Linked DNA regions of Ovis aries. The protein of the gene in region 2 purifies or fractionates together with the protein of the main gene of each other region. This does not show direct contact. Links are inferred from orthologs where the notes say so. Each region holds a gene or a part of one and is shown on either strand. Other genes may lie near its edges.

Region 1 (4,076 bases), on a different chromosome or scaffold from region 2:
CTCAGATGATGTAACTCAGTAACAAGCAGTATCCCTTTTTCACACCCAAGTGAGAGCACTCCATTGGAAGAAAAAGGTTTTATTTTTCTGTTTTTGTTGGAGGGGAGGAGGAGAGGGCTAATGAAAAGAGTCAATTTCACAGCATGAATACTCTATGAAATGACAGATCTGAGAGAAAGAAGCTTTGGGAAACATGAAAAGTGGGCATATGAGGAGTCTGAGATGCTGGAAAATAGAGCCCTTCTAGAAAGATAAGAAAAGAGCACCTTCCTCCACACATTCCCAATACTTAATTTAACCCGGATCTCATCAGGTCGCTGCTTTTTAAGGGTCAAATAGTTGAGAGAGTATTCAGATGTTGTTATCAGACCATCAGATCACCACCTGCTTCCTCCATCTTAACTGCCTACCTAAGTAGCTCTCCTTTCTTTCCACCTGCCACATTATACCGTCTCCAGAAGGCTGAAAGCAAACTGAATCAATTATGTTCACCAGATATCTCTAAGAGTTGCTTGGGAAACTAAGCACATGTCATTTTTGGTGTGCTACATATTTCCCCAGTACTATCTCACACACCATGAAGCTTCCTCCTTGATACAATGTAAAAGACATGGTTTTGGAGTACCACTCTTCAGAGTTCAAAAATCCACTCCACTGCTTGCTCTCCAAAATCTCCTGTGAGAGTTAAAGAAAGAACCAGGAGGTAAGTCACTCAGAGTAAGTAGGAGCTCAATAAATAAGAGCTATTATTTGAGGAGGAGGGATTTTTTTCTTCAACAAAGTTTAGAAAAAAGCATTTTGCATGTTTGAAAGGTTTAAAACAGTACTCTTGTTTTAGTCAGAAAACAGTATCAATCATTTTTCAGGACAATACTCTCCCCTCAAAGTATCCACCATCTAAAATCTTTGATAAAATAAATGGTAGAAAAGATTCATCCCATTCCCTCCAATTCTGAATGAACCCTTGAAACCATTTCATTATCATTTTTATTTGGTTAGGAAGTACAGTACTAAGTTTCCTGAAATTACCAGCCATTCTGCCTAAAAATTCTAACAAGTTTCTCAAACAGGGTAAGACAACGGTAGATACTGGCAGTATTAAAACACAAGCTAGAAACCACATATTCCTCTTTTCAGGAGGTTCTACAAAGACAATCAGATGATAAATATTATTTCTTTCAGTTTCTACAATCTGAATTTCTCTTTATGAATGACTCCTGAGGAATTCAACAGCTCCATTCTGGACCTTTCCAAAAAAAGCTCCCAGGTCCAGAGAAAAACAATTTTTAGGTCTCTAAAATAACAAGGAGACAAACCTTTAGGTCTTGTTCTTTTCTTTAAAAAAATGGTTTTATATCCTAAACACAAAATCAGTGTATCAGAAATATACCAGACCCTCAAAGCCCATAAACCTTCCACAGGAATCTTGCTTAACTTACTTCTCACTTCTTGCTACCCACTTAGTCTTAGGAAATGCTAACACACTCCCAGCCTCACGTCTCTTCAGGGACCCAACCAAACCTGCTATGCTAGTGCACTCAAGTTCCCCAAATCTGACACTGTTTTGTCAAAGAGAAATGCTTACCAACAAACATGTAATATACTAACACTAACCACGTCACTAAAGTGACAAACTACTCAGCCTCACTCCCAAGGGAGGGTAAGCAATAGCCAGCGGGCGGCCAGAACCCCAGGTTTATCATTAACACATCTGCCTAGGCACAAGGTTAGCGGCCGCACCTCCACGGAGCAGCACCAACTCAAGGCGGACCGAGGGATGAATGAGGCGGCCCGGGAGCGGCGGAGGGGACGCGGGGCTGGCCCGGGGAAGGCGGGGCCGCACCGCCCAGGTCCCGCCCCCAGCCCCGCCCACGGCCACCCCGGCACCGCGGTATCGCCGCAGTCCCCGCGCGGTAGCGGCGCGCGCCCCGGACCCCTTCCCGCCGCTGCCTTTTCCCTCTTCGCGCAGCCCCCAGCACGTACCAGCTTTGCAAACCGGGGCGCTCGGGCTCCTCCTCTCCGGGGAGCTTCGGCTGTGCTCCGGGGACCTCCTCCGGTGCCGGACGCGGGCTGGGGGTGGGGCCGCGCTCACCTCTCCAGTCCACAGGTGGGTGGGCGACGAGCAGGGCGACGACACGGTACCTAGTAGCGGCGGCGGCGGCTGCGGCCGAGGGGGGCTTCCGCGGGCCCCGGGCGCGGCGGCGCGCGTGGGGCTAGTGCCTCGCGTGGACGTCGCGGACGCGCCCGTCTGCGTGGCCACCGTGGGGCTGGTGCGCGCGGCCGCACTCCCGCCGCCCCGCGTGGGGCTAGTGCTGCGCGAGGCGGTGCGCGGGGCCCCGCCGCTGCCGCCGCCGCCCGAGGGGCCTGAGGCGCCACCACAGCAGCCGCCGTTGTTGTTGCCGCCGCCGCCGCCGCCGTTGCTCCGCGTGGGGCTGCCATGTTGCTGCTGCTGCTTCAGCTGGAACGGAACCGTCGCCCTCATGGGCTGCAGGCGGCTCCCGGATCCCCCGGCCGTGGCGACCGCACTGCCCCCGAGGGAGCCGGCCGGCGTGGGGGACCCATTGCGCCTCACCCGCTGGGACATGGTCCCCCCTCCCCGGTGACTGGGCGAGACGTGGGGTGGTTTTGTTGTTAGAAGGCAGGGGGAGGATTCTCGAGGCTGGAGGGAAGGCCTCCGCGACGGGGTGACGAAGCCGGAGTCTGGGGTGCTGGGGGCGCCCGGGCCGCGGCCGGCAGCAACGAGGTGGTGCAGCCGTCGCCGCCGCTGCTCCTCCTCATCAACAATAGTGTCTCCTTCGCTGCCCCCGCCCCTCGCGAGCGCCCATTGGTGCAGCGTCAGCCGCGCTCGAGCCACTCCACCGCGCCCATTGGCTGCGAGGAGCTCGGGTCCCGGGCCCCGGGGCCTTAGAGAACCTGGGTTTGCGCGGAGACCGTCTGCTCTTTAAAGAGAAAGAGACCCGCCCCCCCGGGGGGAGGGGGAGCGGAGGAGACAGGCTGTGTGTATGTGTAGTGTGTGCGCGCGCGCGCGTGTGAGTGTACACGTGAGTGTACACGCGTACGCGCGCGCCTGGCCACGCGCATCTTTCCCTTCCCACTGGGGGGAGCCCTGGGGACTCAGATTCTGGAATATTGCCAAAGGGATTGCCCCCGAACCAGAGCGGTCCCCAGGGATGTCTCAAGTCTTTTCCCCCCAACTCATTTCCTTAAATCGGTATTTACTAGCACAGTCTGTGTTCCTGAGTCTCTTTCTGGCTTTTGTTTTCCCTTGATCTTTTTGTTCTATCCTAATTCCATCAACGTCTTGACAGGGTTCAAAGGAAAAGAAATTTAACGAATGTTATTGGCATTTTACACTTTGTCTCTTTTTTAAGCTCTGTAGAGAGCCAAATCTTAGAAAGATTAAAACTGCTGGTTAGAATGCCGTTTTAGATTGTATCAACGAAGTGCAGTAACCAAATGCTATTGCTACATCTCCTGTATCTCAAGTAATCAAGAATTTATTTCAATCAACTACTTCTGAGTTCCCCGATACCTTGGAAAGACGATTGCTGCCTTACAAGTTTGTTAAGTGCCATAGTTTTCAAAGGGCCTATTTTATCCTCACAGTCATTATTTGAGACAGAAGTGGACAGCCATTCATATTTTTGTCTAGTGGAGAAAACAGGTCTTTGTAGAATGGGCAAGAAATCAGTAACACTAGTTCTCAAATAACCTGAAAGGTTCTTCATCAAGACAAAAAAAATAAAAAAACAAGTGAACCCATACCCCACATACTCATTTCCCAAGCTATAAACTCCCTGTCCATGACCTGTTTTCCCTTTAGTACTTTATTAGATAAATATTCTAGACAGATTTCATCCTATAAAAATATGGGAGTGGAGGGCCCAGTTTGATTTGCTCTGGACCTGAAATTCTGCTGGGTCCTATACACTGTGGTGGAGAGCCTTTGAGGACCTAAAGAAAGAGATTCATATTCCAGATCCACAGCATACTCTGTGGCTGGGATAAGTCACCAGCCACTTTCCTTTATCTGTAAAATGCAGTTAAACAATACCACCTCCTTCATACAATTGTGG
Region 2 (3,500 bases):
CCTTTTGAGGAGGATGATTAGGCAGGAAGGCAATCATCTCCAGCATACATCAGGAAGAACCATCCAGAGACTAAAAGCCCAATGAAAGAGGCCGTACTATCTGTTAGTGATTCAAATCACTTAGTAAAATAACTACTTGGTAGCTATAGTAACTCTGTGAAACAAACAAAAAGTCTAATAGAGTTTTTATAGCTGATGCAGCTGATAATAGTTTTACTAACTTTAGAGAACTATAATAACCCAAATACTTACATATCCATTCTTTATATCTACTTACAACTATTAGAAGTGTACTACTGAGAAAAGGCTATAGTAACATGACTCACGGAGAAGTTCTCATTTATAAAATTCAGCAACTTGTTAGATTACCTGTCCAAAGGAACCTTTGCCTATTAAGGAGTCAATTTCGTAACGATCCATCCACTTTTCTCCGTTTTTTACAATATAATCATAGTTATCATCATCATAACCATCGTTGTAAACCTTCCGCTCCTTCTTATGACTAGAATCGTCTCCCTGGCCCTGTTGGTGTCTCCGCTTCTTTTTTGCATAGTAAACCTAAAATGAGAGAATCTAGTGTTAACTGTGTAATTAAAAATCATGAGGCATGGAGTGGCACCATATATATACATACATATCAAGAGTACGTATGAGACAAACCTGCCAACAGTAAGAAACTGATGAACTTTTATTCTATGGAACAAAAAAAAACAAATTTCTATAGTTGCTATTTGAATTACAGATTAACTCTAATATATATCAAATGAAAAACACCTACAGAAAAATTCACTTTAGAATTATACTGTTCATACGTTTTATAAATAGGAAATATTAAGTGAGTAGGCCAGTCTCCCATCAAGAAAAGCAACAGGACCTGATTTACATTTATTTTAAAAACTAAGGTATAATTTACATACAGTGAGCTGGTATAGACCCTAGGAGTGTATAATATAAGGAACTTTGGGAAAACGTATATGCTGATATAAACAACAAATGCTAACCACGCCCCCTTCTAGTCAATCCCAATTTTATATTTGACCCTAAAGCAAAAGATTTCAGAAATGAAAGGTGAAATGTGTATGAACTGATATTTTACTAATATGGGAAGGGCCTCTGAGACAGGCTCGGCTTTAAGCTTATGACAACAAAGTAATGAAAACCAGTCAGGCCCCCTCCCCCCACACTCAAGGGCACTGAAGCCGTGGTTGATCACAGACTGGGTTATTTTCCTTGTATCTGTTTTTCTTATAAAACAGTTTCTAAGACTAGTAAAAAATAACAGGTGGACTAGGCAATAGTTCTGCTGCTGCTGCTGCTGCTGCTAAGTCACTTCAGTCGTGTCCGACTCTGTGCGACCCCATAGACGGCAGCCCACCAGGTTCCCCCGTCCCTGGGATTCTCCAGGCAAGAACACTGGAGTGGGTTGCCATTTCCTTCTCCAATGCATTAAAGTGAAAAGTGAAAGGGAAGTCAGGCTCCTCTGTCCATGGGATTTTCCAGGCGGGAGTACTGGAGTGGGGTGCCATCGCCTTCTCCCAGTAGTTGGTAATTAATGAGGCAATAGTTCAAGTAATTGGTAACTAACTTTGAGGAAATGATAAATTACACTCTATAAAGCAATTATCAGAAAAACTAGTTTACAAGGTAACAGTTAAAAACAAGCTTCAACAAAGCTACTTAGCAGTATTAGTTTATCAGATTATTTTCAGATGACCAAAAACTAGTTTGAAACATCTTTTAGAACATATAAATTGTAAACAAAATCCAACTTAGAAATGTTCCTCATTGAGTTCACTTCAATTTTATCTTGCCACACTGCCACAGTAATACTGGCATTAAACAGCACCAAACTGCTAAGAAATTTATACACACATAAGAACATCTTTTTAAATGGCTCTCAAGCTGGTAGAAGATAAGTCTTTAATGCGGAAGTATGTAGGGCCCCACTGGAAGAGGAAAGAGAGCACAGGTGTGGCCACCCGTCTCTAGAAAAGCTCATTTACTAACTCACTATACAGCTAGAGTTGATGTTAGGAGCAAATACCAAGCCAAAGGGCTAAAACACCAGAAAAATAATTTCTCAAAGTGAAGAGTCACGTTGGAAGATAAGTAATTCATAGTGCTATGTTTTTTATGCTACTTAATCCCACCAAAAAGGCTTTCAGGTATCATACAGTGAAAGGATACAGATAAAAAAGAACACTCATTAAAAAGAAAATTTTAAACCACACAAATATAGATATTATCAGATAAACTAGGCCAAACGCCTGTTAACTGAGCATTAAACACATATCAGAGCTTCCTGACATCTCTGGCAAAAGCAGAAACAGATACATAAAAAATGAAGCAAAATTCTGTAACACTTTCATACTTTTACATTATCACTATTCCCTCCCTTTCCTCTGAAGTTTTGGAGAAGGGGTATTATAGAAATTGTAACTTAGCATGTATTAAATATAACTTTGAAAAAGAAGGGAAGTTACTCACAATTATCTTTTTACAATTCTTGTTTATATAGCATCTTTCTTTTACACAATTATGACACTTTTATCTACAAACCGCCAACCTACCAGTCTTCATAATAGTCATCGATATGACAATCCTTGGGAATTAAAGTAATTTTAATATGTTTAAACACACTACAAAATAACTTGTTTCCTCCACTCTATGGCGAGATAGACACCGTAATAACAAATCAACAGTTCTTACCTCATTAATATGCTTATATGTTTTGATCAAGTCAACAGAAAGTTTTCTCAGGGGAGCAGTAGCTGGATCACGGAAGGTTTGGGGCATCCGCCTCTGTAACATGACAATATCAGGCATCACCTTAAATAGACAGAGAAGACTAGCACTTTAACTATGCTGTGCTGGCATGAACTCCCTCTTCTGTAACCTGTGCATATGCATTTAAAACAAAACAGACATCCACATTAGAACATGAAACATTCACATGAAACATTCTCTCTTGGTCATCTCTTTCAACCGGAATCCAATGAAGACAACCACTGGAACAAATAAATGAAATTAGCAAACAATATACCCAGCTGCGAAGCCTTCAATTTTGTTTCCCAAATTCAACGAGAGGATTACAGACATCCCCCTGGTCCAGGAGACACGCAGAGGCTGCCCCAAAGGGCTTCTCCACTGTACAATCAGCCTAAGGAAAAATTTCTTCTGAATGGTTCCTTCAGCCTGGCCTGGTTCACAACAGGCACACAGCGCCTGCCGGGAGCACAGCTGAAATCTGCTCTCGTGCCTTCGAGCTGACCAAGGAGACCCACCCTCTGCCTTAATACATCCAACGCCCCCTCCACACTCCCTCTGCCCACACTGCACGGCACCTGCCACCACCTAATATCCTGGTATACGTTTACTGGGTTACTGGTTTTAGTTTTTTCTCCTCCTTCCCCTACTGGGAGAACGCCATATGAGGCAGATATAGCTGACCAACGCTGTATTCCCTCTGCCTACAACAGGAGCAGACATACTGTCTGAAA

The links. Proteins that work in one complex are often made in the same cells at the same time.
Region 1: the proteins of DYRK1A (region 2) and FAM117B purify together in Homo sapiens (affinity purification with mass spectrometry; 8 studies listed by BioGRID and IntAct, counting the BioPlex papers as one, with this or other methods). This does not show direct contact. The link is inferred for Ovis aries from reciprocal best matches to the Homo sapiens genes DYRK1A and FAM117B.

What each region holds. Positions count from the first base shown.
Region 1 is NC_056055.1:204,850,230-204,854,305, reverse strand, and holds the start of FAM117B (protein FAM117B), read right to left. Parts: upstream 2,801-4,076; 5' UTR 2,585-2,800; coding exon 1,984-2,584; intron 1-1,983.
Region 2 is NC_056054.1:270,278,945-270,282,444, reverse strand, and holds part of DYRK1A (dual specificity tyrosine-phosphorylation-regulated kinase 1A), read right to left. Parts: intron 2,897-3,500; exon of another isoform or gene 2,830-2,896; coding exon 2,710-2,829; intron 559-2,709; coding exon 370-558; intron 1-369. UniProt on the Homo sapiens protein: Dual-specificity kinase which possesses both serine/threonine and tyrosine kinase activities. Exhibits a substrate preference for proline at position P+1 and arginine at position P-3.